4 linked regions of the Diceros bicornis minor genome follow. The protein of the gene in region 1 interacts with the protein of each later gene in a pairwise test. Links are inferred from orthologs where the notes say so. Each region holds a gene or a part of one and is shown in the gene's direction. Other genes may lie near its edges. The genes, in order: KPNA3, ERCC3, MAT2B and TSSC4.

Evidence for each region.
Region 2: the proteins of KPNA3 (region 1) and ERCC3 interact in binary tests that used the Homo sapiens proteins (3 or more experiments, as listed by UniProt). The link is inferred for Diceros bicornis minor from reciprocal best matches to the Homo sapiens genes KPNA3 and ERCC3.
Region 3: the proteins of KPNA3 (region 1) and MAT2B interact in binary tests that used the Homo sapiens proteins (3 or more experiments, as listed by UniProt). The two-hybrid records come from large-scale screens. The link is inferred for Diceros bicornis minor from reciprocal best matches to the Homo sapiens genes KPNA3 and MAT2B.
Region 4: the proteins of KPNA3 (region 1) and TSSC4 interact in binary tests that used the Homo sapiens proteins (3 or more experiments, as listed by UniProt). The two-hybrid records come from large-scale screens. The link is inferred for Diceros bicornis minor from reciprocal best matches to the Homo sapiens genes KPNA3 and TSSC4.

Annotation. Positions count from the first base shown.
Region 1 is NC_080748.1:27,437,453-27,444,929, forward strand, and holds the start of KPNA3 (importin subunit alpha-4), read left to right. Parts: upstream 1-4,462; 5' UTR 4,463-4,550; coding exon 4,551-4,619; intron 4,620-7,477. UniProt on the Homo sapiens protein: Functions in nuclear protein import as an adapter protein for nuclear receptor KPNB1. Binds specifically and directly to substrates containing either a simple or bipartite NLS motif.
Region 2 is NC_080749.1:5,633,541-5,640,962, forward strand, and holds the start of ERCC3 (general transcription and DNA repair factor IIH helicase subunit XPB), read left to right. Parts: upstream 1-4,413; 5' UTR 4,414-4,479; coding exon 4,480-4,507; intron 4,508-4,850; coding exon 4,851-5,056; intron 5,057-6,067; coding exon 6,068-6,304; intron 6,305-7,422. UniProt on the Homo sapiens protein: ATP-dependent 3'-5' DNA helicase/translocase. Binds dsDNA rather than ssDNA, unzipping it in a translocase rather than classical helicase activity. Component of the general transcription and DNA repair factor IIH (TFIIH) core complex.
Region 3 is NC_080740.1:78,415,246-78,423,218, forward strand, and holds the start of MAT2B (methionine adenosyltransferase 2 subunit beta), read left to right. Parts: upstream 1-4,962; 5' UTR 4,963-5,033; coding exon 5,034-5,096; intron 5,097-7,973.
Region 4 is NC_080770.1:2,325,161-2,332,127, reverse strand, and holds the start of TSSC4 (U5 small nuclear ribonucleoprotein TSSC4), read left to right. Parts: upstream 1-3,958; 5' UTR 3,959-4,084; intron 4,085-4,137; exon of another isoform or gene 4,138-4,780; intron 4,781-5,505; 5' UTR 5,506-5,658; intron 5,659-5,822; 5' UTR 5,823-5,844; coding exon 5,845-6,807; 3' UTR 6,808-6,967. Other genes in the region: CD81 antigen, read left to right, coding at 1-73, 369-497, 968-1,069, 1,589-1,675, 1,758-1,820. UniProt on the Homo sapiens protein: Protein associated with the U5 snRNP, during its maturation and its post-splicing recycling and which is required for spliceosomal tri-snRNP complex assembly in the nucleus.

The DNA of each region.
Region 1 (7,477 bases):
GGTGAGTGGGTTGATGAATTTGAGTGTCATTTTCTTCAATTTTCTGTATTCACTTTTTGCTTCAGGTGCTCTCAGAGAGATGTGAAATAGCCAAAACATGATCATGAGGGAAGGAAGGAGTTCATTTATTCACTCATTAATTCACTTATTCATTCAGAAAACATGCATGAGATCCAATTATTCTAGGCTGGGGAACCCAAATATGTACAAGCTATTTCAAGGGTTTACAGGGGAGTGAGAGAGTTAAGACTACACAAATTTTAGCAATACAAAACAGTAGGTAAGTTCTTCTGAAGTTCAGAGAGGAAGATATCACTCCTGGTTGGAAAGACAGTTAACAACTAACATTAATGTAGCAATTTCAAAGCACTTCCAACTTAATTCTCACAAAAACCCAGCGATTCAGAATTCTCATTCGTAGATGAGAAGATGGTTCAAGGAAGGTGACTTGCCTGGGCTTGCTCTGGTAGGAAGTCAACCCTACCAGATTCCGAGTGTTCAGAACTCTGAGTGGGTCTGAGTGTTCAGATTCTGCCGGTCCCTCTACTGCACCATGCTGGGAAAGCTTCACGGAGAGGGCAAACTCTTAGGCTGAGCATTTAAAGAGGGACCAATTTTGACAGGTAGAGATAGGGCCAGGGCTTTATAGATAAATTGAACAGCAAAGATATGAAGGCTGGAAAGGCTAAGACATACTTGGGAAGGGTTGAGTAGAACATGTTAGCTGAAGCATAAGCTCTGTGCAGGGGAGTCAGAAATAAGAAAAGTGTACTGCACTGTGGCTGGATCACACATGTTCTTAACCACCAGACTGAGGAATTTAGAAATGATTTGACAATGGTGAGGGGGAGGGGTGTACTGGATGTGGGGAGAAGAGGTAAAATCAGGAAGATCTGGAGAAGTTAGTCAGATTGTTGTGGAGAGGATGGAGGAGGCAGGGGAACCAGTTAGGATGCCTTAAGGTGGACTTGTGGGTGGCATGGGAAGAAGAGCCAGATTCAAGAAGCACTGAGTGGTGAATTAACAAGGTGACTAGGTGAGGGAGTTGGGAGAGAGGCAGGGAGTAAAGATGGCTCTTAGCTTTGAGTGGAGTCCCTGGAAGAATGGTTATGCCATTAACAGAGTAGGCAAATTTGCAGAAAGAGCTTCAGGAGGAAAATCAGGAACTCCATGTTGGATCTGTTGTGTTTGTGTTGCCTTCTGCGTATTGCCACCTGACTATCCGCTGGGAAGGTGGGTGGTGAGTCAGAGGAAGAAGAAGAGTGTGACTGACCACCCAGGCTTTGAGGGCCCTTCCTTCCTGTCTCTGCTCTGCTCCCCACTCCCCTGCTCCTTAATGTAAGTCCCTGATGGATACAATGCTTGATATATGGTGGATACTAAAAATATGTTTGGAAAAGAAATCTATTTAAAAGAAGAGTTGTCAGGAGAAGTTTCAGGGCAAAGGCAAAGACTAGAGTGAGGGAAAAGAGGAGATGGTTGCTAACAACGGGAAGCACCAAATTTGAGTCACTGGAGGCAGTTATTTCCCAGAGATTAAGAACTCTAAGGCCTGGTGGGAGCTACAAGTGGTAGAAATCTGGTAGAGTTAAGAATGTGGAGAGACTCTGGGGTCAGGGTACCAGGTGTGTGGATGTTGAAGTCACCAGGGATAATGGCAAAGAGTAAAACTGACTAAGTTAGACCTGGGCAAGAGGGGGCCCTGCTCTGGACCCTGCCCTTTAGAGGACCTCACTCTGGCTCTCTTCAGCTGCACCACTCCCCGTCGGGAGTCCATGCGGCCAAGGATTCATGCTCACTGGAACCTTGCCTCTAGACCCAGCTCTGGATACCAGAGCCCTGGGGTTCCCTGCTCAATGGCCACGCCTCCTTCCAGGGCCTTCTCAGGCCTCTTTCCTGGGTCCATCCCTTTGGGGGCACACGATGCTACTGCTTTGCACGCTCTAGGCCTGAGCAATGGCTAAGGGGCATCTCTTGAGGTGGGTAGGGGGATGTAAATAGAGCTTTAGTGGTGAGAAGCAGGACTTGAACTTCGTGGGTAGAGGTATGCACACATGTTCTTAAGGTCTATTCCAGTATAGGATGGCGCCGGGACATGGAAGAGAAGAAGAACAAAAAATGGGCTGGGGGCTGGCTTCCAGCCCTCTTTGCACCACCAAATTCTGAAGCAGAAGTCCAAGAAGTTGGGACGTTAGAATTCAAACCCAGACTTCCAGGTTGCAAAGGAAGTGCATTTGTCAATGTCAAAGGTTAGAATATATTTTATTTAAGTTTGTAAGCTTGATGTATAATTTTTAAATATTTATATATGTGCTATGTAGACCTCCATTTGTGATCTTGCCCTCATATGTAAGGAGTCTTAGGAATCAGCAGGTTATAAAGATCTCCCTACTGTGAGCCTTGACACCCACCACACTTTTGGGGTGACCACTTATTTTATTGTCTGTCTACTCTGAAAGACACGAAGCTGTGTGGAAGCAGGAACCAGGCTGTCTTGTTTACAAATGTATCCTAGTGTTGGTGCAATGACTGACACATGGTAAGTGCTCACTAAATATGTCTAAAACTTCAGAATGATGAAAGACAACACATCTGATGACAGCAAGTAGGGTGAAGAGAAGTGGTAGCAGGGGGTAAAGTAACCTGAAAAGAGAATGCCTTGCTCAATTATAATAGAGACTGAGCAACAGTCTAGAAGTTTCTCTTCCAGTCAATCAGCGAAAGTGGCAAACATGCACTTTCCATCACCTGAAGAACTAGAGTTGAAGCAATCTATTCACTCTAAGCTTCAGTTTTGGTTTTTTTCCCCCTCTTCAAATGAGTGGTTGGACTAGGATCACATAGTACAAAGTAAGAGCCTGGAGTTCTAAAGTGACTGATTCACAGAAGTGCATTAGAAAATGTGAATCAACATTTAAAAATGAAGTAAAAAGAACCCAGCTTTTTGGTTTGCCTTAAAAAAATGAACCTTTGGCAAGACTGGCCCACAGTACAATATGGCAACAATGGTCTGAAGCCTTTAAATGGGCCTGTGTTTTATCAAAAAGCCAATGTCCCATCACTAACAAAACAAATGCCCCAGACATAGCCTGGCCACCAAAGGCCTCATTTTTTTACCTCTGGACCCAGGCTCTTCAAGGCCCCTTTGCTTTGAAAGAATGTCTTCTTTAATCTCTTTATGGTTATATTTCTACCAACGTTTGAATGACCTCAGTGTCATTTGAATTGTACTGTAACATCGCATACCTCTTCTATCTGCCATAGATTCTGAAACTGAATTATTTCACATATAATCAAAGAAGTCCACTTGCTCCAGAAAGCAATACTCTATTAGTGTTATAGATCCAAATTTCCCTTGATCATTCCTCCGATGACATCTAAAGAGAGATGCTAGACTGGCGAGTCTGCGGACGAGTACTTGACTGCTGCCTAAAGGCTGAGAAGATTATGTGTGGTGGTGGAACAAGAGGTGTTTGGGGCACAGAAATGCAGGACCTCCTATAATGAAGGTTGCAGAACCGGGCTTGGAAGGATGATGAAGAAACCGAGAGACGCTAGAGCGCTCATTTGTTCAGGTATTTATGGAGTATTCACGACGTGCCAGGCACTTTTGATGCAAGGGATTCAGCCAACGTCCCTGCTCTTACTGAGTTAATTCCGGTGCGATAAGCTAGGTAACACACACATAAACACACATATCACATACATACATATGTACATGTCAGGTGGAAATGAATGCTATTTATAAAACCAAAGCAGACCAAGAGAACAGCGAAGGAGGGTGGCTGATACTCCACGAGACCCCAGAGAAGCAAGTGAGCAAACCACGAACCCTGCGTCGGTTATGCATTTTCTAGGCTGCAGGGAGAGAGGTGAGCCTCTCAGAAAGCCCTGCCCCCTCCTTCCCAATAGGGCGCAAGGTGCCGTCTCCGGGGAAGCTCCTCCCGCTTCCCCGCCCAGAGGCGGCCTTAGAGGCGGAGCTTCGCGACAAGGAGCTCAGAGCGCGCCGCGCAGAAAGGCGCGCGCTTAGTGTTCCCGGCATTCTTTTCGTTCTGTCAAGGCTAGGAGAATTACCCCCACTGGAGTCTGGCATGCTGGGAACTGTAGTCCCCCCCCCCCCCCCCAGTGCTCCGCGTCTAGCGGGCAGTAAAGCCGCTCAGTACGGCTCCGTTGTTGGCACAGGACTTGCAGGCCCTAGGGGTTGCGGGAAGGCCTTGTTGGGTGGGGTGGGAGTCACCCCGAGAACAACCGGGCACAATCAGCCGGAGTCCAGGCCCGTGGCCGCCCCTGGTCACGTGACCCCCAGCCTCCCCGGGCGCGCGCGCAGCTCCTCTGCGCTGTTCCCGCCCCACTCCTCCCCGCCCGGCCGACGGCCTGCGCCTCCCCCGGCGCTGCTGCCACCTCGCGCTCGGAGGCGTCACGGAACGTGCTCGCCTCTCCCCCTCCCCCTCCCTTCCCATCCCGTCCTCCCCCACCTCCCCCTCCCGCGCCGAGACTCGCCGCCGTCGCCGCAGCCGCAGGAGTAGCCGCCGCCGGAGCCGCGCGCAGCCATGGCTGAGAACCCCGGCTTGGAGAACCACCGCATCAAGAGCTTTAAGAACAAGGGCCGCGATGTGGAAGTGAGTGTGCTTCCGCGGTCGGGGCCCGCCCGGCTCGCCCGCCTGGCCGCGCTGGCCCCCGGCGGCGGGGAGGGGCGGGGGGCCGGCGCCGGGCTGGTTCTCGCCGGCTCGCGGTGGGTCAGAGTTGGCCGCCGCCTGCCGTCACCGCGGCCCGGGGCTGGGCGGAGCGGACGGCGGGACGCGGGCCGGGCTGCAGCCACCCTCCGGGGCTGCCGGCGCGGGGACCGGGAAATGCCGGGGTTTTCGGCTCCGTCACGCGGGCGCGGCCTGCTGTCGGCGAGGAAGGGATGTAGAGCTGAGGCGGGGTCCGCGGGCCGGGGCCTCGCGGGCCGGGGATGCTGCCGCCCCGGTCAGTCGACCGCACCGCCGAGGGGGCGGCGCGGCTCGCGCCGGCTGCCCGTGCAGCCTCCCGCCCGGCGCAGCCCCTCGCTGCGTCCCGCCCTGCCGCACATGGAGCCTCGGCTCTGCCGGTCCCCGCGCCTGCCTCCTGCGAGCCGGGCCCAGGCGGGCGGTGGCGGCCCGCAGAGGGGGGTGGGGACCAGCCGGGTAACTGACTTGTTTGAGGGTGGTGGATGGGGGAGGGTAGGATGCGCCAGGACCATTTTCTGATATTCCAAGGCTGTCCTTTGGACTAGTCGTGCTGAGCTGATCCAGCTCATACTCTTGTTACTGCTGGCATTTGGAGCAAGCTGAAGGTGGACAATAGTTTACCATCTATTGTGTTGAGGCTTCGGAAGAGACGTTGTTCCGACCTCCGCTCACAAGACTTGTTTTCTTAGCCTTTCTTGTAGTGAGGGTGTGTATAGGATAATAATTTCTTTGACATGTTTTACTGAAATAAATTGGATACGTAGGTTCATACGGCCTTATATATACCTCTTGCTCCCAGCTGGAAGAATTTCCGAGTGGTTGCAAAACTGTAAACATTCATCGTGGTCACAGTTCGTTGCTACTCAGCATGTTGCCATTGTCTCATTAAGGTGACATTAGCAGGTACTATTTGCAAACTCGGCTTATTGAGGCAGCGCTAGAGGTCTCTCTGCAGCTACTAAAAGCAGTGTAGTATAATGCATAAACTTCACTGGGACTTTGACCTCTGGATTTGTTAGGGGGAAAGTGGTTTTAAGTCCACAGTCTTTTTTTCTAATGCTAGATGACATGATTTGCAGTTTTGTAATTCTTGCTAAGGGGCCAGTGTGACTAGGAAGTGTGCATTTTGTCTCAGAGAGAAGGTGGTGGGGAAAATATGCCATTCAGCCTTGTTTCGTAGAAAACCAGACAAAACTCAGGCCATTTTTCAGAGCTCCAAAATTAAATACTAATTGGAAAAAACCTAGGGAAATACTGTGGAATTCCCGTTTGAATGAGACAGATAAAGGTCGTCTATCTCTGCCTCGGTCATGGTTAAATTTCTTTTGTGAGAAATACTTCTAAGCAAAAGTGAAACTTAGGAAGAGCAACAAGAAATTTTGGAACTGCCTCCTGTTATTGGTCCACTTGATGATAGGAGTTAATTTTGAACTTTTTCCATCAGTAGTTGTTCTTGAAGCTTACCCCTGTTATAAAGCAAAACTTATGTAGTTTGAAAAATAAGCATGTTGTTTGTAGAGAAGAGCTGACAACTTTCTTTCCTTTCTTGGGTGTTGTTACAGGTTTTTGTTTTATTGTTTGCCTCTGTTACTGTGTTCTGGGAACACAGTGATACCTAGTAGGGATTCCTGCATGTAATAAGTGCACAATAAATATTTGCTGATGATCAGAATGTAACCAGTGACTTCTGGATGCATGAAAAAGATACGTGGTTGCTAAGCCTTTCAGTCTGAAACTATTGGTAGTAACAACATCACGTTTCCCAGGATACATTAGGGTAACGAAGGGGTGAAATGGCAGACATTCAAATGGTAGTTCTATATGACAGAGACTAAACTAAGAGCTTCATGATACCTCATTTTATCCTTATAACAACTTTATGAGCTTGGTATGGCATTGTCCCCACTTTACAGAAGGAAAGCACTTTAGATGAGGAAACTCAAGAGTGCTTCATGTAGCCTGCGCAAGGTCACGAAGTGGGTACGAGCATTTGTTCACTAATTGTCTATTGGGTGTCTGATAATGTTACGTCTTGGGGATCAAAAGGGAGTAAAATTCAGTCTGTCCCTCAAGGAGTTTGCAGTTCCTCAAGGAGATTGCTGTTCAGTAGGAATGATAGAAAAGTAAATTGATAATTACAATGCAGTACATCAATAAGTGTATTCTGAGAATGCATGAAGAGATGCTAACTTGGAGCTGAGCAGTCAAGAGAGATGTTCTGGTTGATTCCTGGTGGATTGATGGGAATGAGCTGATCCTGAAGGATGAAAGAAAGTTGGCCGGGGAAAGGGAGAGGGCAAGGAAGGGGCATTCCAGACTTGAGGTGGCAGTAATTGAAGAGTCCTGAGAGAATGTAGTAGGACTGCTGTGAGAGAAAGGAGTGCTCGAGATGTGACTAAAGGGTAAACTGGGGTCAAATCTAATCAAATCTGATCCTTTATTGTGGATTTAGGTATCGCTAAGACTAAACACCATAACTAATTTAGTCTTATCCATTAGAAACTATATTACATTAAAAACTTATACTACGATTTAGCTCTGTGACTAAGTAGCGATCATCAGGCTATTTCAAAACAGTGAGATTCGCTCTGGCAAGATATCATTCCTACCTTTTCACATATAGGATAGATAAAAGATATAGTATAAATTATACAACTAGCTGATACACAAATAAGATGCTCGATGCAAGAATGAAATACATATTTTCTAAAGAAAATAAAAGTGTAGAGTTATGCCAGAGAATTGTGAGTGGGGAGAGGGTTGAGGAA
Region 2 (7,422 bases), on another chromosome or scaffold:
ACCCCCTAGCCCCTAGTAACTACCACTCTACTCTATGTTTTCATAAGTCCAGATTTTTTTAGATTTTACATATACATACAGTATTTGTCTTTCTCTGTTTGACCTATTTCACTTAGCATAATGCCCTCAAAGTCCATCCATATTGTCGCAAATGGCAGGATTTCCTTATTTTTCATGGCTGAATAATATTCCATTGTATATATATATACCATATCTTTATCCATTCATTCCTTGACAGACACTTAGGTTGTTTCCATATCTTGACTATAGTGAATAATGCTGCAATAAACATGAGAGTGCAGATATCTTTTCGAGATCCTGTTTTCATTTCCTTTGAATATATATCCACAAGTGGTATTGCTGGATCATACAATAGTTCTATTTTTAATTTTTTGAGGAACCTCCATGCTGTTTTCCATAGTGGCTGTACCAATTTACACTCCCACCAGCAGTGCACCAGGGTCCTCTTTTCTCCACATCCTTGCCAACATTTGCTATCTCTTGTCTTTTTGATGGTAGCCATTCTAACAAATGTGAGGTGATATCTCATTGTGGTTTTCATTTGCATTTCCCTGATGATTTGTGATGTTGTGTCCTTTCATGTACCTGTTGACTATTTGTATGTCTTCTTTGGAAAAATGTCTGTTCAGTTCCTCTGCCCATTTTTATATTGGATTGTTTGTTTTTTTTGTATTGAGTTGTATACCGTCTTTACATAATTTGGATATGAACCCCTTATCAGATATATGGTTTGCAAATATTTTTTCCCATTCCATAGGTTGCCTTTTCATTTTGTTGATTGTTCCTTTTGCTGTACAGAAGCTTTCTAGTTTGTTGTAGTCCCACTTATTTATTTTTGCCTTTGTTGCTTGTGCTTTTGGTGTTATATCTAAAGAATCATTGCCAAAACCAATGTCAAGGAGTTCTTTCTCTGTTTTTTTTTCCTATGAGTTATATAGTTTCAGGTATTATATTTAAGTCTTTAACCCATTTTGAGTTAACTTTTGTGAGTGGTGTTATTTAGGGGTCCAATTTCATTTTCTGCATGTGGTTATCCAGTTTTTCCAACACTATTTATTGAAGAGACTATCCTTTCCCCATTGAATTTTCTTGTCAAATATTAGTTCACAAAATATTTTTTTGTTTTTATTTTCTTATTTTTCCAGATTTATTAAGGAATAATTGACACCTAAAATTATATATATTTAGGTGTACAATGTGATGATTTGATATATGCATACACTGTGAAATAATTACTACAATCAAGTTAATTAACACATCCATCACCTCACATAGCTAATTCATTGTGTGTGCGTGTGTCTGTGTGTGTGTGTGTGGTGCTAACTCTTAAGATCTACTCTCAGCAAATTTCAAGTATACAATACATTATTAACTACAGTCACCACGCTGTACATTAGATCTTTAGAACTTATTCTTCTTATAACAGAAAGTTTTTACCCTTTGACCCATCTACATTTAAAGTAATTATTGATAAATAAGAACTTACTATTGCTTTTTGCTAATTGATTTCACATAGTTTTGTAGTACTTTTGTTCCTTTCTTCCATCTTGCTGTCTCACACAAAATATTTTCTTAATGTTAGATTAGCCATTCTTCCTCATCATCTTCAGTAAAATTAACCAGGTTTGGCAGAAAGAGCTTTAAAAAAAAAGGCCATATGTTTAATCCACTATTTCTATTTCTCAGAATTTGCCTTAAAAAAACAATCCCAGATGCAGTTAAAGACTTATATCCAATGATATTCATCACAGGGCTATGTATAATAGGATAAACTGGAACTATCCCAATGCCCCAAAATTAGGGTTTGACTAAATAAATTATAATACTGCCATACAATGGAAAATTAAGTACTCATTAAACATTCATTTTAATGAGGGGTGGATAAAGCTTATGTTAGAAGGATATAAAATTATATGTTCAAATAACATCTTCATGGTGTAAAAAGAGCAACTCACAGAAAAAAAGCCTGGAAGAAAATAACCCAAAATGTAGATAGCTAGGGATAGTGTTATCCATGATTTAAATAGCCTTTGCTATGCTTTTCTCTGCTTTCCAAGATTTTTACATGGCATGTATTACTTAAATCAGAGGGAAAATATAAAAATGCAAAAACCAGTTTTACAGGTGTGGTTCTGGGGCCAGCCCGGTGGCGCAGCTGTTAGGTGCACGCGCTCCGCTTTGGTGGCTCGGGGTTTGCAGGTTCGGATCCCGGGCGCGCACCGACGCACTGCTTGTGAAGCCATGCTGTGGTGGCGTCCCACATAAAGTGGAGGAAGATGGGCACGGATGTTAGCCCAGGGCCAGCCTTCCTCAGCGTAAAGAGGAGGATTGGCATCGGATGTTAGCTCAGGGCTGATCTTCCTCACAAAAAAAAAAAAAAAAAAGGTGTGGCTCCTCCACTTCTTGAGTAAGTGAAATTCATTTAGGGCAGAGACCAACAAACCTTCAATTTACTGAAGGTCATTAAGCTGAGAAGTGATCTCTACATTGCCAATCCTGTGGCTGGGTCTCAGTCTTCAATTTGCTCAGCTGATCAGCAGCATCTAATATAGCCGATCACTTCCTCCACCTTAAAATGAAATGAAATAAAAGCAGGACTTCCAGGACTCCTGATTTTCCTCTCCCACTGACTGCTCCTCAACTGGTGTTGCCCAGTTCTCCTTCATCTTCCAGCCTCTTCACTGTGAAATGTTCCAGACCTTTGCTTTAACTACATTCATTCCCTAGGTAACCTCAATCAGTTCTATAGCTTCAGTACCACCAATAGGTTGACAATTCCCAAACTTATATTTCTAGGTCCCTGAACTTTAGACTTACATCCAACTGCATTCTTGACACTTCATTTAATTGTCTAATAGGCCACTTCTATGGACTGAATTGCATCCTCCCCAAAATTCATGTTAAAGCTCTAACCCCCGACGTGACTGTATTTGGAGACAGAGCCTGTGAGGTGATAAAGGTTAAATGAGATCATAAGGGTGGAGCCCTAATCTGACAAAGCTGGTGCCCTCATGTGAAGAGGAAGAGACACCAGAGAGCTTGCCTTTCTTTTAACTCCCATGTGAGGACATAGTGAGAAGGCAAGAGGGTGGCCAACTGAAGCCAGGAAGAGAGAAAGATCTTCATCTTGGACTTCCAGCCTCCTGGCTGTGAGAACTGTGAGCTGTGAGAAAATAAATTTCTGTTGTTTAAGTCACACAGTCTGTTACAGCACTCCAGCCAACTAATATAGCCACTCACATTCAAAATGTCCAAAACACCTTTCAATCTGAACCTTCCCTAAGGTACACCATTTTTGCAGTTGCTCAGACCAAAAACCTTGGAGTTCTCCGTTAGTCCTCTCCCTCACTTTCCATATCCAGTCAGTCAGCAAATGCTGCTCTAACTTCAAAATATATTCAGAACGGAATCACCCTTCATCACCTTTATCCCTACCACCCTGGTAAAGCCAACAATTTCTCAACTGGAGGGCAGCATTAGCTGCCCTTGACCTTATAAAGTCTATCTTCAACATAGCAGCCAGTGTAGAGTGATCCTTTAATACTAAATCAGATTGTCACTTCTCTGCTCAAAACTCTCCAGTGGTTTCCCATTTCAAAATAAAATCCAAAGTTTTTGCAATGGCCTACAAAGCTCTACATCAGTGGTTCTCAAACGTAAGCATCAGAATCTTCTGGAGGGCCAGACTGTTGGGCCCACCTGCAGAATTTCATGATTCAATAGGTCTGGGATGGGGCCAGATACTTTGTATTTGCGCCTTTCTAATTAGTTATCACCAGTTTCCATATGATGTTGATGCAGCCAGGGGACCCCATTTGAAGAACCACTACACTACATGTACTGTACTATGTCCTCTCCCCTACGTCTCCCAGCCATACTGCTCCCTCTCAGCCTCCTCTTCGACGACGCCAACCCTGTGTCGGCCTCACACCTGTGCCCGCACTGCTCCTCCCTGGTACTTACATAGGACACTGTCTCACTTTCTTCAGATCTTTTGCTGAAATAACACCACTTCAGAGGTTTTCCGGGACCACTCCATTTAGAATGACACTACCTGTCACTGCGGGCCGTTTTATTTCTCTTTAGAGCTCTTAGCACCGTATTTGTTTACTGCCCACACCTCTCTACTAGAACTTAAGCGCCAGGAGGCCAAGGGCTTGACATTGTTCACTGTCCTACCCCAGCGGCTAAAACAGTGCCTGGACGATCACAACAGGTGCTCAACAAATATTTCATTGACTGACTACAGCAAAGAATGGGGAGAAAGGAGCCTCCGCCAGGGTCACACCACACACGCTGCTCGGCCGCCACGCGCCGTCGCCTGCCCGGCGACCCGGCACCCAGAGGCGGGACTTCCTGTGTGGTTGCCGAAAGAGCTTCCTGTGTGAACCGGAAGTCTCCCTGGGACCTGTAGCCGCGGCGGGCCGGCGGCGGTGGTGGACTGGGGCTGTAGCCGCCATGGGCAAAAGAGACCGGGCGGAGCGCGGTGAGACGCGGCGGGGGCGTGCCTGGGCCTACCTGCACTTGCCGTCTCCGTCGTCCTGTGTCGTAGCTGCCCCGCGCTGCTCGACCCCGCCGCCCCTCGGCCTGCACACCCGTGTCCCGACGGGCCGCTGGGCGGGGGCGAGCTTGGGTCTTTGGGCAGCCCCGCGTCCTGCCGGGTGGGAAGGTTTGAGGGAGAGTCGCCCCGGCTGCAGGTGGACCCCTCTGGGAGTGCGTGGCGCTGGTGGCAGACGGCTGCGGTCAGGTTCCCCCGGAATGCAGCTGGGCGGTGCGGAGGGGACCCTGGGCTTCTCCTGCCCGGCTCACTTCTGTGTCCGCATCTGCAGATAAGAAGAAGTCCAAGAAGCGGCACTATGAGGACGAGGAAGAAGATGAAGACGACGCCCCCGGGAACGACTCTCAGGAGGCGGTGCCCTCGGCGGCCGGGAAGCAGGTAGATGAGTCCGGCACCAAAGTGGATGAGTATGGGGCCAAGGACTACAGGCTGCAGATGCCGCTGAAGGACGACCACAGCTCCAGGCCCCTCTGGGTGGTAAGCATGCTCTCAGCCAGGCAGGGCCCCAGAGTCTGTGGGGCCAAAGTGGAAATGCAGGGTAGTGCTCTTAAGGACTGGCTGGAAGAGAGCTTTCCTACACAGTTTGAACAGCCCGAGATGGGAATAAGCAGGAGGGATGCACACATGGGCCGGCTAGACGTGGGCTTCCTTCATCTCTAACCCCTCCTTTTACTCCCCTTCCCTCGATAGTTCTACTGCATATTTGGAAATACTTTTATCTACCAAATAAATGGCATTTATTATGTAACATTTTAGTTCCTCGTTTTTATTTATTTTTTATTTTTATTTTTTTTGGTGAGGAAGATCAGCCCTGAGCTAACATCCATGCTAATCCTCCTCTTTTTGCTGAGGAAGACCGGCTCTGAGCTAACATCTATTGCCAATCCTCCTCCTTTTTTTTCCCCAAAGCCCCAGTAGATAGTTGTATGTCATAGTTGCACGTCCTTTTAGTTGCTGTATGTGGGACGCGGCCTCAGCATGGCTGAACAAGTGGTGCGTTGGTGCACGCCTGGGATCTGAACCCCGGGCTGCCAATAGCGGAGCGTGTGCGCTTAACCACTAAGCCATGGGGCCAGCCCCAAGTTCCCCATTTTTAAAAATTAATGGGAGACATATATATGTATATATTTGGTAGGCAACTTTTTGCTCAACTTGAAGTCATTAATGTTCTACATTTTATTTGAAGTCTAGCCCAAAGGGAACTTGAGGAGAGCCAGTAAGGTAGGCTTTCCCTGTGAAGAATAGTGGGAAGCAGCTACTGACTTTGAAAACCTTTACTTCTTTTCCTCTCTGTTCTTTGTATCTGATTAAGTAACAGGCCCCCCAGTTGACTGAAGGAGTGCTTACAAAAATATCCCTGGTGTTGAAACACTTAAAGATCACTTTTGGGGCAGCTTATCTCTTCTAGATAATGATAAGAGAAAGAGTCTAATAATCTCTGCAACTCATTAGTTTCCTTGTCTGTTGTGACGGTTTGGTGTTTCTCAGGCTCCTGATGGCCACATCTTCTTAGAAGCCTTCTCTCCAGTTTACAAATATGCTCAAGACTTCCTGGTGGCTATTGCAGAGCCAGTGTGCCGACCAACCCATGTACATGAGTACAAACTAACTGCCTACTCCCTGTATGCAGCTGTCAGCGTTGGGCTGCAGACCAGTGACATCACTGAGTACCTCAGGAAGCTCAGCAAGACGGGAGTACCTGATGGGATTATTCAGTTTATTAAGGCAAGTGGAGGCTGAGGCTGGCTCTTTTGCCCTACTTGTCAATGTGGTAATAGTGGAGACAGGTGCTACATTTTGTTAACCTGTGGCGGTCATGAAAATGCCATTCAGAGCTAGTGTGGGGAGCATAAAAACTGATTACCCTAGCTGCTGCTTCTCTGGATCCAGCATTGTGTTCTTGCTGAGGCCACACTTACCATGAGCTGCTGTTAGCCAGTGGGTACTAACACAGTGGGGGTAGTAATTTAGGCCCATTCTGGCCAGGGTTATTTGGGAATGCAGTGCAAAGTGAATGATGTTATGGACTGAATTGTATCCCCTCCAAAATTCATATTGAAGCCCTAACCCCTAATGTGATTGTATTTGGAGTAAGGAAGTAGTTATGGTTAAGTGAAGTCATGAGAGTAGGGCCCTGATCCGATAGGATTAGTGTCCTTATCAGAGGAGACACCAGAAGACTCATGTGCTCTCTTTCTTTCTTTGCACATGCACAAGAAGAGGTCATGTGAGCACACAGCAAGAAGGTAGCCCTCTGCAAGCCAGGAAGAGAGCCTTCACTAGAAACTGAATCCCTGGCTTCTTGATCGTGGACTTCTAGAAATAAGTTTCTGTTGTTAAACCACCCAATCTGTGGTGTTCTGTATGGTAGCCCAAGCAGACTAATACAGGTGGTAAACTCCATCTAAGGCTGAATACCTGCACCAATGGTCACAATTTCCATTAGGGAAAGTCAAAAAGAACTTCAGATGTTGAAGTGGGTAGGGTTCCATGTGAAGAGCACCTTGAACATGCTTGGGTTTGTTCTGAGAGATACGTGAATGCCATTTAGAAGAGATGGACGGTGGCTTTTGGTGCCCTCTGCTGGTCTAAAGGGAGTTGGATTCAGACCCCTAAATCTGGAGTGGCAGAAGATGAGTGCCATAGGCATCCAGCACAGTAATGTATCCAATCTCAGAGAAGCTGGCAGGAGCCCTGGAGAGAGTTTTCTCTTCTTGTGTGTGGAAGGGTGCCCAGGGAGAAGGGCCTGCACCTCACTGGAATGAGCCTACATCAGCACCCTGGTTGTGCTCAGTCTTGGCTGGGAGCTGCCTACAGGAATGTAGGTGTTGGTGCAGTGCTGT
Region 3 (7,973 bases), on another chromosome or scaffold:
GATTATCATTATAGCTCTTGTTGTTGTTATGCAGATATTTCCAAAAATCTATGTGGTCTACTTTGTTGATCTTTTTACTTTTGGTTTCTGAATTTCATGATATGCTTATAAAAGGCTTCTTCACTCCATAATTATTCTACACAATTTCCTCTAGTACTTTTGTTCCACATTTTACTTAAGCTATTTTAATCTATCAAGAACTTATTTTAGTATAAGTGAAGTAGGAATCCAGCCTTATTGTTTTTAATGATTCATTTTTAATTTATTATCTTTATCCCCTAATAAATTCCCATAGGCATATTTGAATCTAGCTGAGTTGATTAGTATAATAGTATCTTTCACACAAACCTGGGAGGTTAAGAGAAAGATCAGGTTTGGTGGACAAGATGAAGAATTAATATTAAATTTACTTTCAATTTCTTGGAACTGTGAGTTTGATATGCCAGAGGGACATACAGGTAAAGATGCCTTTTAGGCATCTGGAATGGGGAAACTATAGCTTGGGAGAGAATTTGTGTCAAAGCCATTCATGTGGGTGTCAGATTCACAGAAATGGGAACAGCTGGGATGGCCAAAGCAGAGGGTAGTTTACAAAGAGAAAGGATGTTGTGAAAAAGAAGAAACAAAACCCTTTGTTTTTGCCCTTGGGGTATCATAATAACTTAGAGATGTATTTCTCAAACTTGAAAAATGTATGCATACCCTAGGAAGGAAAAAGATTTTGACTTCTTAGATCCTAATGAGTTTAGAAATTTAAATACTGTCCATTTAATTCATGACTTGGTACCAATGCAAACGTTAACACTATCTCAAATACTAGATCCTAGATACTAGATCCTAGAAATTGTTGACCGAGTCTAAGGTTGGGACCCAAATGATCCAAAATATGTATTATTGTTTTAAAATTGAGGTATAAATTATGTACAGTAATACAGATAGTGAAATGAACACATCTTAACTGTTACATTTTGATGAGTTTTGATAAACGTATATACCCATGTTACCCACACTCCGATCAAGATATAAAACACTTCCATTACCTCAGGAAGTTTTTTATGCCCTTCACAGTCAATCCCTACCCTTCCCCTAAGGCAAGATAATTTCTTTCACTATAGATTAGTGTCACCTGTTTTAGAATTTCACCTGTCTCTGGCTTCTTTCACTCAGCATAATGATTCTGACATTCATTCATATAGTTCACTTCTTTGTATAGCTGAGTAAAATTCACAGTATGGATATATCAAATTTGTCTATCCATTCATCCATTGATGGACGTTTGGGTTGTTTCCAGTTTTAGGTTATTTTGAATTAAGCTGCTATGAATATTCTTGGGCAAGTATTTATGGATATATGCTTGCATTTCTCCTGGGTAAGCACCTAGAAGTGGAATTACTGGGCTGTGGGATAGGTATATATTTAGCTTTATAATAAACTGCCAAATAGTTGTCTAAAGTGGTTGTTTTTGTTATTTTCCCACTAGCAATGGATGAGCTTTCTAGTTGCTCAAAATGCTTGTTCGCATATGATATTACCAATCTTCTTAAATTTTAGCCTTTCTGTTAGGCATGTAATGGTATCTCAATGTGATTTTAACTAGCGTTTCTCTGATGTTGAGAATCTTTGTATGTGATCCTGGCCATTCTTATGTCTTCACTTTGTGAAGTATCTGTTCAAAAATTATGTTCATTTTCAAAATTATTTTTTAAAAATAATTGAGTTGTAGGAGTTCTTTAAAAATTCTGAATAGAAGTCCTTTTCAGATATATGTATGCAGATTATTTTTTCCCAGCCTGTGTTTTGCTTATTCATTTTTTTAACATTGTCTTTCAATGAACAGAAGTTTTTAATTCATTAAAATTCATCAATTTTAAAAAACTGTATAGTTCTTCATTACTTCATTACCTCTGCATGCCTCATAGAGTTTAACATGTGCTGTGTTCTCTAAGTGGTTATAGAGTTAAGTGATTTTTTCTTTTAGCTCCATCTGAATGGCCATTTTGTTGTTGTTCTTAAATCGTTACAGAGCCATAACCCAGAACAGTGGTTCAAAATTTAACTGAGGTTATTCATCACTTTTGTAATTGTTAAAAATAAGATTGCTGGGCTCCACTCCTGATTTTGTTTCATAGGTTCTGTGGTGCAGGCAGGTTTGGGAATCCCTGATCTAGAAGTCCTTAATGTTTGGCCAAACCTAAAGTTTTTCTCAAACAGAAGGCACGACAATGTTAATGGAAATGACCAGTTGCAGTTTCATTTCTGCCTGCTGTTACCACCGGTGCCTCTTACGGTCCTTTGACATAGTTAATTAGAGAGCACTGGGGGTGGGGGGTGGGGGGAAGCACTGGAGAACTTTACGAAATAGATTCTGTTGAAATAAGGCATAATGATACAATATTTCAAAACAGGACTCAATTTCAACAGAGAAAATTTCAACAAGTCTTCAAGGAAGTTTTTTTTTAAATAAGTTGGTTTTCCTAATGGTTTTGCTAATAAATCCTCACTTGGCTGGCAATTAAACATGAAACTTCTCATTGGGTATTTTCGAGACCGCCACGGGGAATCAGCTGCCAGTTTACTGCAATGTGGAAAACTGCACGAGATTCTGGGATTGGAATCAAAATGCTAATTTAAAAGGTCGAGTGAAGCTGCGGCTCCCGTTTTTGCGTGCCTGCGCTCTGTGCAGGCATAACAAAGACCGAGCCAGAGCAGGCAGAGGCTGAGACACAACCCAACTCTATTTTCCTGAGATAATTTTGGAATCATGCCTGAAATGCCGGAGGACATGGAACAGGTAAGAGCTAGCTATTCATGAAATGAAGTATTCTGGAGTTAGAGTTGCTTTAAAAGCATCCCAGTGAATGTCAGGTAAAAGCCGGAAGGTTGTGTTAAAAAAAAAAACGAAAGAAAGAAAGAAAGAAACGGTGTCATTCATTTCCTTGAAACATATAACTTTGGGACATGCAAGAATAAACCAATTTAAATTTGGGAACCAGGTTACGGAGAGCTCAGCTAAGTCTCGTTAATTGACAAAAATAAAATGCAAAACAGAACAGCAGTTTCATTTACCAGATTATTTGCAATGATGTAGGCGAAGTTTCTATATAAATAAGGATTTTATCTATAGTTGTGTGCTCCAGCCCTTCTTTGTCTTGGCATGAATCAGGATGCTCTCTTTAAACTTATAGTCTTAGCCACACGAAGTTGAATATTGTCTGTATAACGATGGTGTTTTTGTTCACAAAGAAACTTTCATCTTTAAACAGAATAATTAAAAATCATACACGAACATATGCTCCTAGAACTATACCCAAGTTTTACCTGGCAAGTATCAAACCATATTCTCAAATAATAGGCAACTAAACTCTTTTTGATCCTCACCCTAGGCAAGGCTGCTCTGAGCATCAAAATGCTAATTGCATATGCATGTCCTTAAATCTTTTTCACGTTGAACACTTAATTTTTTTCCCAGAAAGATTAGATTGCATCACACCTTGCAACTAGAAACTTTAAAAAATTTCCCAGTTTTTAAAGGGAGGAGGATTAAGAGGATCTTGAATCTGCTTCCCTGAACTCACACTTGCCTTTTCTTTGTTTGCAGATCATGCATGTTTAGTGCTGGGACAGTTCTCTGAAGGACTTTCTAAAACTGATTAACAGTAACAGCCTGGATTAAAACAAAAATCGAAAAGTGAGGGGCCTCAGGCGCCCTTCCGTTACTGTTCCAAAGAAACTTTATATTTACACAAAGAAGGAAATGAGTTTTTTTTCTTGGGGGTTGGGTAGGAAGGAAAGTCACGGGACTCAGACGTGAAATAACTTTTTAAAAAGGCTGCTTAGTCTCTAGCTGTAAGCTTAAACCAAAAAGGATTACGAAAATAAGGCCTTTTAGAAAAGATCCCAAGCAGTAGTCACGTTTGTGGGCGACTTGTAGGTCTTGGTATCCCGTGTGTCTGGACAAGGACACTCAGAGTGTTCGGTGACAAGTTGGGGAACCCTACAGGGTCTAGGCTGGTTTTTTTTTTTTTTCTGAGTAAATTTCACAGGCGCCGCGGCTGGCGGGGGACTTGCAGGTTTTGAACTGGAAAGGCAATCATTTGCCTGCTAGGGCAGCCTCAACACTTAGAGCTATTTCTCATCTATACTTAAAAGACGCGCGTTACAGGTGGCAGAAGGTCCAGCAGTGCTCTCTTCCCTTGGTGCCTTCTTTAATTTTCGGTGATTGCAGAGGCTCGGCACCTGTAGCCCAACTCGGCAGCCCCTAAGGCGCTGCTTCTCTAAGGGTGCTCTTAACACATGTTAAATCAACTAACTGGAGTCCCACCGATTCTCATTCTGATTATTGGGCAGGTCCGAGAATCTACGTTTTGAAGAGGCACCCAAATAATTCATCCCCCTTGCCCCCACCTTTTTAACTTGTTAAAAATGGTTTGCCATCTTTGGAATTTCACACGTACTATTCTTTTAGCATCCCAGAAAGACAAATGGGTTCTTGAGGTGTTAATGACTCAAATGCCAACACTTTTTTAATTCCATGCCTCTTTCTAAATCTCTCTAGAGATACTATGTCCATTGTGCTTCCCCTCGCCTCACTGCCCATGTCTTTAAAATATTTTATCCCACTTTATATATATTACATGCCCAGTTGTTTCTTATGCACTGCTCACAGTCTGCAAAATTGAAACTCGAGGCAATCCGATTCAATCCTTCCCTACACAAGAAGAAAGAAAGCAGAGAAACAAATCCCCCAACATAAAACTTGTGTTGGCTGTTTAAGGCCGAGGCCTTTGTTTCGTGCAGCCCTTACGAGTTGGCGCGTGGGCCAGGGGCGGCCGGAGGGCCCCCTCGCCCTGCCTGGGGTGTCGGCGGAGCGTGGCCAATCACCGCGCGCGGCCGGGGCGGCGGAAGCCGGAAGTGGTGAGTGGGGGCCGGCCCGGACTCGGGGAGGCGGGCCGAAGGCGACGGAACCGCGGCCCGTAGCGATCCTGGGCTGGGGAAGTGGCGGTCGCTGCGGCGGCGGCGCGAAGACGGCGGGCATGGTGGGAAGGGAGAAGGAGCTCTCCATCCACTTTGTTCCTGGGAACTGCCAGCTGGTGGAGGTGAGGGAGTCGGCCCGGGGGTCTCGGAGTCGGGGGCGCAGAGGGAGACGGGCCAGGTCGTGGAGGCTCGAGTGGTTTTCCAGGCGCGTCTTGCCGAGTCGGGGCCGCCGCCGTGATTCGCCTCGGCGCCGCCTCTCCAGCCCCGGGAGGCGAGGGCGGTGCCCCCAAGTTTGTTAATCTCGGCGCGCACCCGTCGGTGTTTTCTTTATCAGCTGCTGCGGCAGGAAATGAGTAGGTCGGATTTCACTTCCGAATCTTCTGCCTTCCTAGGAACGAAGAGGGATTTTCAGAGCTGTTGCAGTTTTGATTCTTCCTGAATTTCTTTTTCATCCTTTGTTCGTTTTCCTCGATCTTACCAGGTTGTATCTCTAAGAAGGGGAAAGGAGGCTTTCCAGAAATTATGACAGTATTAGAGATGACAATTTACTGAACTCTTAGTTTATACGAGGCACTGTTATGCACTTTACATGTATTATTTACTTTAATCCTCATAACTGTGAGATCTGTTTTTGCTCCATTTTACGGATGAGACAATCGAGGCTTAGAGGGTGAGTCCTTGGCTCAAGTTCATTGAGTAAGGTTGGAGCCGGGATTCAAATACAGGTCTGTTTGACTGTCTCAGGCTTTGAAGCACTACGGAGGTTGCATAAAGGAAGGCTATTACTGTGTTTGCGAGAGCCATCCCTGGCATTCCCCCTCCCCTCACCCCACCCCATTCTCTCTATTCTGTTCCAAGCCCCCCAGCATTCATCAGTCCACAGGGGATTAGAAGACTGTTAATGCCCAGACTAGTATGTCTTATGGCTATACGAAAGGATTTAGGAGACGGCTGTTTTCGATAATGCAAAAGGTTTATGCCTCCAAAATGTTCCATATTTAGTGTTTTCAAATCGCTTTGGGATTTTTGGGGGTAAAGTTAGGATGGATGGGCTATTAAACCTCTGTATTGTTCTTATGTACCCCAAACAATATTGAATAGATAATGTTACATATTGTTTACTTTAATTTGTATGCATATGCATACATGTATGTATATGTGCATGTATAAAGCTTAATCAGTTTTCACAGTAGGAGTTCAGTAGACTAATGGAAATGGGTTTTCCTTCATTAAAAATGGTACAACCAAAAGCTTGGCACATATTTGCTGCTCTCAAAACCTGTGGAATTAAAATTCACTCGTGAGAATGAGTGAATTTTGAAGCTAGTCTTATAGTTGATGTTAGATAAGCAGACTAATGGTTTCTGTTAATAATACTGGCTGTGGAGTACAATAGGGTGACAGCAGGAGTTAGACCAGTGTCACCTAGGTTGTCATGGGATCATAAAAAGTTTCTTACAAGTCTTGGAATGTCTACTGAAAGATCTCCCTCCGGGGAATGTTGTGAGGACCAATTAAAGACATGAATATGGAACTTTGCCAAATTTAAGAGGTTCTGAAAATAGCAAAGTATTATTATATTTACCACTAAAACTTAAGAAGATCCCTCTTTAGATGTTAGTAATGTTTCAGTCTTTACTTTTTCTAGGACATTTTTAGTTAGAAGTTGATGCAGGTGTCTTCAAGTAGAAGTCACTGTCCCAGAGTACTGCTTTGGACCGTTTTTGAAAGAGCTCTTTATCTCCCATTACCTATACAGTTTGGTGTCATTTAATTAAATAGTATCATAAGAGCAGTAGTTCCACATTTATTTATATGTATTTAATTTTTTGAGAATTTTTTTGGTGTCTATAAACCTGGTCACCTGAAGTTATTGAATTCTGTACGTCTAAGAGTTTATACGATAAGAGGCAAATGTGTTCTCTGAGTAACTTAAAGTGATGTTTGAGATACTTAACCCATAAGATAATGAAAATTGAGAAAGTAGGCTTTTCAGGCAGAATATTTTGAACTCTTGATTGCGGTTTGGGTTAACTAGACAGCTTTTTATTCCATTGTAAGTTCCTCGAGGTGTTTGGACATTCCTGTTTTGCAGGACTAAAATAATTTATAGAGTAATCGTCCAAAGTAGTTTTTAGAGGAGTATTTCTTTTCTTTTAAAAAGAAAAAAATCAAAACTATGCTTTTAAAAGCTTCAGGTAGAGTTCTGTTTGTATATAGAAACTCAAAAATAGAACAGTTATTTTTGTTTGGCATCTTTTAATTTCAGAGTGATGCATATTTTATTTGCCAACCACCAATAAAGTTGCAATCCAAATGAAAAAATCTTGTTTTGGCTCCTTACTGGTGACAGAAGGTGCTCAATGAGTCTCAAGAGAATTATGTGAAAAGAGGAAAAGTTATTTAAGTAAATGAAGCTCCTTTCACTCTATTGAGACCCCTTTGTGGTAAGGATAACATGGAAAATGTTAGAGTTTTAGAACTGTAAAGCTGGAAGACCCTTAGTCATCTTGTTCAAATGCCTCATTTTACCAATGAGGAATTAGATCAGCAGAGATGGAGTAACTTCTCAATACTGCAGTTTGTGGCAGAGCAGATTAAATTTAATCATCATGAAACCAAATATAAGTTCAAAGGATTGAGACAACTCTGTATGTATTTGGCTGACCATAGAAGCAAGACGACCTAAGTTCTGGTCCCAACATTTTCCCCGTTACTGTGGGCAAAACCTTTAACCTCTAGACTTCAGGTTCCTCACTTTGGAAATAATAACTGCCCTGCCTAACAAGGCTATTCTTATGATCAAAAAGTATGATGTAGGTTTATATAACAAGTGTACAATTGTGCAGAATCATTTCTGTTTGAGAAATTGCTTGCACTTCAGATCTCTGCTCTTTTAATAAAGAAAATTTTGAGCAGTGACATCTGACCACCGAGTACTGTGAACTGTTTCATATTTTCTTTTAGGGACCTTACATATTGCCCCAGGGTATAAGGAT
Region 4 (6,967 bases), on another chromosome or scaffold:
CTTCACCTGTCTGGTGATCCTGTTTGCCTGCGAAGTGGCTGCCGGCATCTGGGGCTTTGTCAACAAGGACCAGGTGAGCCTGAGTCCATAGGGGAGGGCCAGTCCCAGCCCGGAGGGGCGGCGGGGGGGAGCACCTGCTGCTCAGGCTGTGGGAGACGGGTCGGGTTGCGGGGTGCTCTCTGGGACTGGCCTGGGAGGGAGACCACAGAGGGCTTTCTGGAGGCGGTGGCATGGAGGCAGGGCTGCCCGACTCCCAGCTTCTGGGTTGCAGCTGGGCTGTCCTGGAAGTGATACCTTCTGGGAGAGTCAGGTGAACGCTGTCTCTGGGGATGGTCCCCGCTGTGCATGTGACCCCACCCCTCCCCCAGATCGCCAAGGACGTGAAGCAGTTCTACGACCAGGCCTTGCAGCAGGCCGTGACACTCAGCAAAAGCGACAGCGACAGCGACAACGCCAAGGCCAAGGCCAAGGCTGTGGTGAAGACTTTCCACGAGACGGTGCGGGAGATGGGGGGAGGCGGGGAAGGGGTCGAGGGGGACCAGGGGAGGCCAGGTGGATGAAGGTGTTTGTCCCCTCAGTTGAGGCCCAGCTAGGCCTCAGCCCAGACCTCCGGAGCAGAAGGGACACTTGAGACCTGGCAGCCCTCTCCTTGAGGGCTGTGGGGCCGTCTGCGAGCCCTGTGGGGGCTTCTCTGGGACCTGTGGGTCCCTGGTGGGAACGAGACAGTTCAGGCCGGCTGGGGTTCATGGGTCTCTGAGCAGCACAGCTGAGTGAGAGGCAGGGAAGGAGGGGGCGCCTGGGTTTGGTGCTCCCCCTGGAGGGGACTATCCCACCCCCGCAGCACCATGCCAGGCCGGGGCAGCTGCTGGGGCCCCTGCAGCCTGTGGGATGCCTATCCTCGTGCATCTCCCCTTGCGTCATCTTGCCCGCGCCCAGGACTGACCGTGGGCATGCTTGCTCTCTGCAGCTCAACTGCTGTGGCTCCAGCACGCCATTCGCAACGACCACCCCTGGGTTCAGGAACGACCTGTGTCCCTCGGGCGGCAAGGTTATACCCAACTTATTCAAGGTGTGGGTGGTGGGTGGGACCTCCCAGGGGCTGGGTGGGGCTGGGCCTGCCTGCTCCCCCACTTCGCTGCCACCCTCCCCTCTCAGTGGGTCCTGGGTGGTGGGTGGGCCACAGCTACACAGCGGCACTGTGGCTAGAGTCAGGGCTGTTCTGCCTGTGGGGCTGGGCCAAGGCTGAGTTTGTACTGACGGCCCATAGCGGGGCGACTGTGCCCTGGGTTCCCAGTGGGGGAGCTCTCCTCCTCCGCTAGCTCTACCCGTACCCGAGCAGGCATGGAGGGCGCCCTGACCGCTGGGTCAACGCCCATCAATGCCCAGTGATCTCTGAGTGGAACAGGGAGCACACAGCCCGTCCCTCGGTTCCACATTTGGTTTAAAATGGAGAGACTGGGTGTTGTTCACACCTCTTCTGAGGGGCAGGGGCCGTGCCCCTCCATGCTCTTTCTACAATGATCCGGCTGCTGCAGTCCGGGGGTCCTGCGGACCAGTGCCCCTGACCGCCTGTGGCCATCCCCCACAGGAAGATTGCCACAAGAAGATCGATGAGCTCTTCTCGGGGAAGCTGTACCTCATCGGCATTGCCGCCATCGTAGTGGCAGTGATCATGGTGAGCGGGCAGGTGGGGCGTCTGCTCAGAGCCCTCCACGGGTCTGTGGGTGCTGACCAGCTTGCCCGCCCCCTCCCCGCAGATCTTCGAGATGATCCTGAGCATGGTGCTCTGCTGTGGCATCCGGAACAGCTCCGTGTACTGAGGCTCCGGCCACTCGGGCCGCAGGCCAGGCCGGTGGGACCCCTGCGGCATCCCCAGGGCGACCCGGACACTTCTGCAGAGGGCCTCTCACCACCTGTGTATATAACTTTTCTGGTATTATTACTCTGCTGCACTTATTAGTCTTTTTACTTTTGAGGTTTTGTTTTGGTCCTGAAGTTCCCCATTACCTTCTGGGGTTGATGTCACCTGTAGGTGGTATGTGACTGGACCCTGGGGACTGCAGGGCAGGGGCCCCCTCTGCCCCTGGGGCCGCCTGGGGGCTCTGCCTGCTCAGCCAGCCCTCTCCAGGGGACCTCGCGGGCCTTCTGGTGGAGCTGCATCCTCCCACCCACCTGTCCCCATAGGCTGCAGGGCTCAGGCCGTTTTTAATCCATGTTCCTCTCCTGCCACCTGTCTCTAGAGCGGGGTCTACGAGCGGCCTTATGCCTTTAATGCACCTCTCCTTTCTAACGTGTCACCTTCAACTGTAATTACATCTTGAAAGTCATTCAATAAAGAAAGAAAAACCAGGCATGCTCACAAACTGTCCAGCCCCTTCCTGTGCCTGCATCGTCCAAGACCCAGGGGGTGGCCGGAGGGGAAGGGGAGCCTGGCACGCATGGGGCTTAGCTCTGTGGACCTTGCTGGGCCCAGGGTGTGCTGCCAACTCTGTTGGTGGGTGAAGACAGACCCCCCCCCCCCCAGGACAGCCCCCTTTCTTGGGCCCTGTGCCACCTGCAGCAGTCTCCAGCCAACCTCTCCCCTACTCCTCCTGCTGCACCACTGCCTGGAAGGAGCAGGGGGGACAGGGCGGCCAGAGAATGCGGTGCAGCAGATGTTTGAGGTGGGGGGCCTGCAAGACTCTCCTGACGGAGGGCTCTGTGGAGGCTGGACGCCTGGCCCCGGCCCTGTCCCTCCCCGTCTAGGTGCCTCTAAATGTTCTGTTGAGGAGCTGGGTGGCTCAGGGCTTAAGCCCCATCGTGCAGGCGCTGGATCAGAGGGCCTCTACGACTGCCTGCGGGAGCCCACCTGGCCCACCACGGTGGACTGAGGTCTAGCTGCCTCTTGGATCTGGCTGCTGCCCCGTCTGGAAGGCTGGGTGACATCACTGTGAGCTATAGGCAGGCACGGACCTGCGTGTGTGTTAAAATTGACCCCTTGAGGCCACAAAGGCCTGGCTGGGATTCATGTCGCGGGCACCCGGCCGCCTCCCTGGGGGCAGATTTTGGAAACGAACCCCAGACCTGCGCTGGGGGTCGGGGGGGAGGGTCTCAGCGGGCCTGCCGCTCTCACCATACCCCTCCACCGAGCTTGCCGGGTCGGGTCGGCCAGAAGGACGGGATGGTCGAAGAGCCCCCTTTTTACCCGGGGATGTCCTGGCCAGGGCTTAGGTGTCTGTCACCTGTAAGCTGCGATGTGACACTACACAATTAGTGCGGGGGGGGGAAATGGGGAGTCCCGAGGCTGCACAGGAACGGGCCCCGTTTCCTCTCCGGGTCCCTGGACTCCGGGGATGCAGCCCTGGGAGAGGCCGAGGTCCGGCCGTCCAGCAGGCGGGAGCCGAGGCGCCTGGACTCGGGCACGGCGCGGCCCAGCGGGGAAGGGGCGGGTGGCGGCCGCTGGGCCCGGGGACGAGGGACAAGCGCCTGTCCAGGGAGCCGGGGCCTGTCCTCCGCTCCCGGGCGGAAGAGACCAGCTGGACCATCAGCCATCGGCAAGCAGGCTAGCCCGACCATGACCCCCTCGGCGGCTGCGACGAGCACTCTACCTGAGGCGCGGCCTGCTCCTAGGACCTACGACGAGCGCGATCAGCCGCTTCCGGCCAGGACCGGAAGTGCCCGGGAACAACGCTGCGCGTGATGATGCACTTCCGGCCTGAGGGACTACTGTTCTCGGGCCTTCCGGCAGGTGGCGCTGAGGCCCAAGGAAACCGGCGCCAGCAGTTAGCCCTCGAGCATTCTGGGAGTCGCAGTCCCTTCTCCTCCCTTCCCTCCTCTCCCTAATCAATTCCGGGCTCTTGGGGAAGGAGTTCCGACGTTTCCGGGGAGGGGAGGTCAGGGAGAGAAGCGAGGGCGCATGCGCAAGGACTACACGTCCCGACAGGCCTCGGGAGTAGCGGTCCAGTGCCTTGTGGGAGATGTAGTTCTTCAGGCGCGGAAGCCTTGGCGCTCGGCCGGCGGAGGACTCGGTTTCCCAGAGATCCGAGCGCGGCGCAGGATGGAGGCGGTGCAAGATGGAGATGGCCGGGCGGGCCACCGTGAGCTGGTAGGTTTGTGGTGAGGTAGGACGGCGGCGCAGGCCGGTTGGGTCTCGCAGGCTGCTGCCCCGAGCCCTGAGACCCCAACGTGCTCTTTGTTCCTCATGTCTCGCGGCCTGGCCGTCGGGCCCCCGTGCCTCGTGAGGCCCGGACACTTCCTCACCCAGCCCGACTGGGTCCCCAAGACCCAGGCCTCGGCACGAGAGCCTGCTGGGCGCGAGTGCAGGAAGTCACGGCTCTGCCTCCGACGGGGAGAGAACCGGCAAGGAGGCCAGTGGTCCCGCTCCCGGGGACCCCCGACCCCTCAGCCCGGACTCGGCTCTGCCTTCTCTGAGCTCCCGCAGTTCCCAGAGAGCTCCCAGAGACAGGCTCCCGTCTGCCCCGAGCGCCCCGCTGGTCAGGCGTCTTGTCGTAGGCGCGGCGGCGTCCCCGGCGGTGCAGGGGACGGGAGTGCGGATTTGGGGAGCCGGGGTCTGCTCGGAACTCCAGCCGTGCGTGCGACGTGCTGTGTGACGGGCAGATTATCTGTCCCCCCGGCCCTGCCTGCTCTGGAACCCCCCGGTGGGGTGTGCTCCTCTCCTTGTTCTCTCTTTTAGTCGTTCCCTCGTTTGGGAGTCATGCCGCAGAGGAATGGAGATCTCGCCCGTGTCTGACCTGGTGCGGGGCTCTCGGGGCCGCTCCTGCTCCGCCTGGCCAGGTCTTCAGTGGGAGCAGGAGCAATGGGTCACCCTGGGCTAGGGAGGCTTCTCCGGGGAAGGGGAGTTGGTGGACGGATGGGTGAGGCTGGGCTGCCTCTGAACCTGGAAACAAAGCTGCGGGTGCCTGGTCACACTCGGACACTCGAGTGTCCTCAGCAGTTCTCTGCTCAGCTGGGGAAGGTGGGGGTGTGTAGCGAGTTAGAGGAGAAATGCTCTAGGGGCCGCGGGGGCTTGCCTCTGCCCAGCGAGGCTGCTCCAGGTGATCACTGACACCCAGTTCCCTGAGAGCTTTGACCCTCAGGTGCCCAGGACCTGGCTGCAGACCCCTCTGAGCTCTCAGAGCAACTCCAGCAATCAGGAGCAAACCTGCTCCCCACAGACAGGGCAAAGTGCTCCAGTCTTGGTGGAGTACTTCCTGGGTGCCTCGCGCTGTGCTGAGCAGTTTATGAATGACCCTCCTTGGTCAAGAGTGGTAGTGTCAAGCAGAGGCTGCTCTCATCTCGGGGTTCAAGCCCTGGCTGGCCGCCTGCTACTAGAATTCCCCGTCCCCCAGCAGGCCCCTAGTTGTCAAGTTAGGCTTAGCTCGAGAGAATTGAATGAGGTGACATGACAGAGGGCCTGCTCCTGGACCTGGCCTGTATGGGGGCTCCGGAAACCCGGGTCCACTCCCGGGGTTGTGGCACCACTTCTGCACGCTCACTGTGGTCTGATGGCTGGCTTTCCTTCCCCAGTCTCAGCCGCCTACAGTTGAGCCGCAGCTGAACAGAGCTGTGCCGGGGGACTTCTGGGACTGAGGCCACCACGCCTTTGCCGCCACGGACCTTTGGCAGCGCTCCTCCCACCAGCACTCCAGTGTCAGCACAGGCACCCAGAAGACAAGGGAGGTGAGGAGGGCTCTTGGGGAGTGGAGAGGGACTGTCCCTTCCTTTGTAGGACACAGTTCTTTCTGCTGATCCTGCTGCCTGCTGGGTGCAGTAGGTCTGCAGGAGGAGTTTGTTCTAAATGCGTGCTGTTCTCAGAAACTGTTTGCTGGGCTGTTTTGGTCTAGGTGTGGCGTGGCCTTGGGACACATGGCTGAGGCAGAGGCAGGCGAGGCCTCTCTTGGCTTGGACGTCGAGCAGGGGACAGAGTATAACACCCTGCCTTCCGACACCGTCTCCCTTAGCGACTCAGACTCCGACGTCAGCCTACCGAGCGGTGCTGATGTGGAAGCTCTGTCCCCAGAGGGGCTTCCTGGGGAGGCCCAGGGGGATTCAGACCCCGATGAGTCCCCCTCATCCCCCAGGGGCTTCCCCACAGTTGAGGTGCAGGCGTTCCACCTGAGAGGCACGAGCACCACCTTCTCTCAGCGCAGCCACAACATCTTCGACTGCCTGGAGGGGGCAGCCAGGCGGGCTCTGCCCTCTGTGCCCCAAACTGGCATGGGTGACAATGGGGGCTTCAAGCGGCCCCGGCTGCCCTCAAGCCAGCCTCCAGCAGAGGGCCTAGGCAGGCCTGTCCCTGACTACGTGGCCCATCCCGAGCGTTGGACCAAGTACAGCCTGGAAGACGTGGCCGAGGCCAGCGAGCAGAGCAACCGGGCCGCCGCCATGGCCTTCCTGGGCTCCCAGAGCCTGGCTGCCCCCAGCAACTACGTGCCCTCCTTCAACCAGGATCCCTCCAGCTGCGGGGAGGGAAGAGTCATCTTCACCAAACCGGCCCGAGCTGGCGAGGCCAGACCTGAAAGGAAGAGGGTCCTGAGGAAGGCGGGAGAGCGGGGCAGGGGTGCCCCTGGGAACCCAGCAGTGGTGGGGGGTGAGGGTCCTGTGGAGCTGGCCCACCTGGCTGGGCCTGGGAGCCCGGAGGCTGAGGAGTGGAGCAGCCCCTGTGGGGTCCTGCAGGAGGTGGACACGCCAGAGGGGGCCGCCCACACCGGGTCAGCAGCAGGGTCCCCAGTGGTGGAGACTGTTGGCTTCCACGGCAGCAGGAAGCGGAGTAGAGACCACTTCCGGAACAAGGGCAGCAGCCCCGAGGCCTCGGGTGCTGAGGTCTGAGAGGAGAGACTGCCCAGCCAGCCTTCCCCAACCAGGCTGCCCGTGGGCTGGTGTTGGAGGGGCTGCCGGGGGCCACTGCCCACATAGGGTGGCTTTAGGGGCAGGTGCCGCGGGCCCCGTCCCCACTCCTTTGGGAAGGGAGCTGACGGGCTGCCTGCAG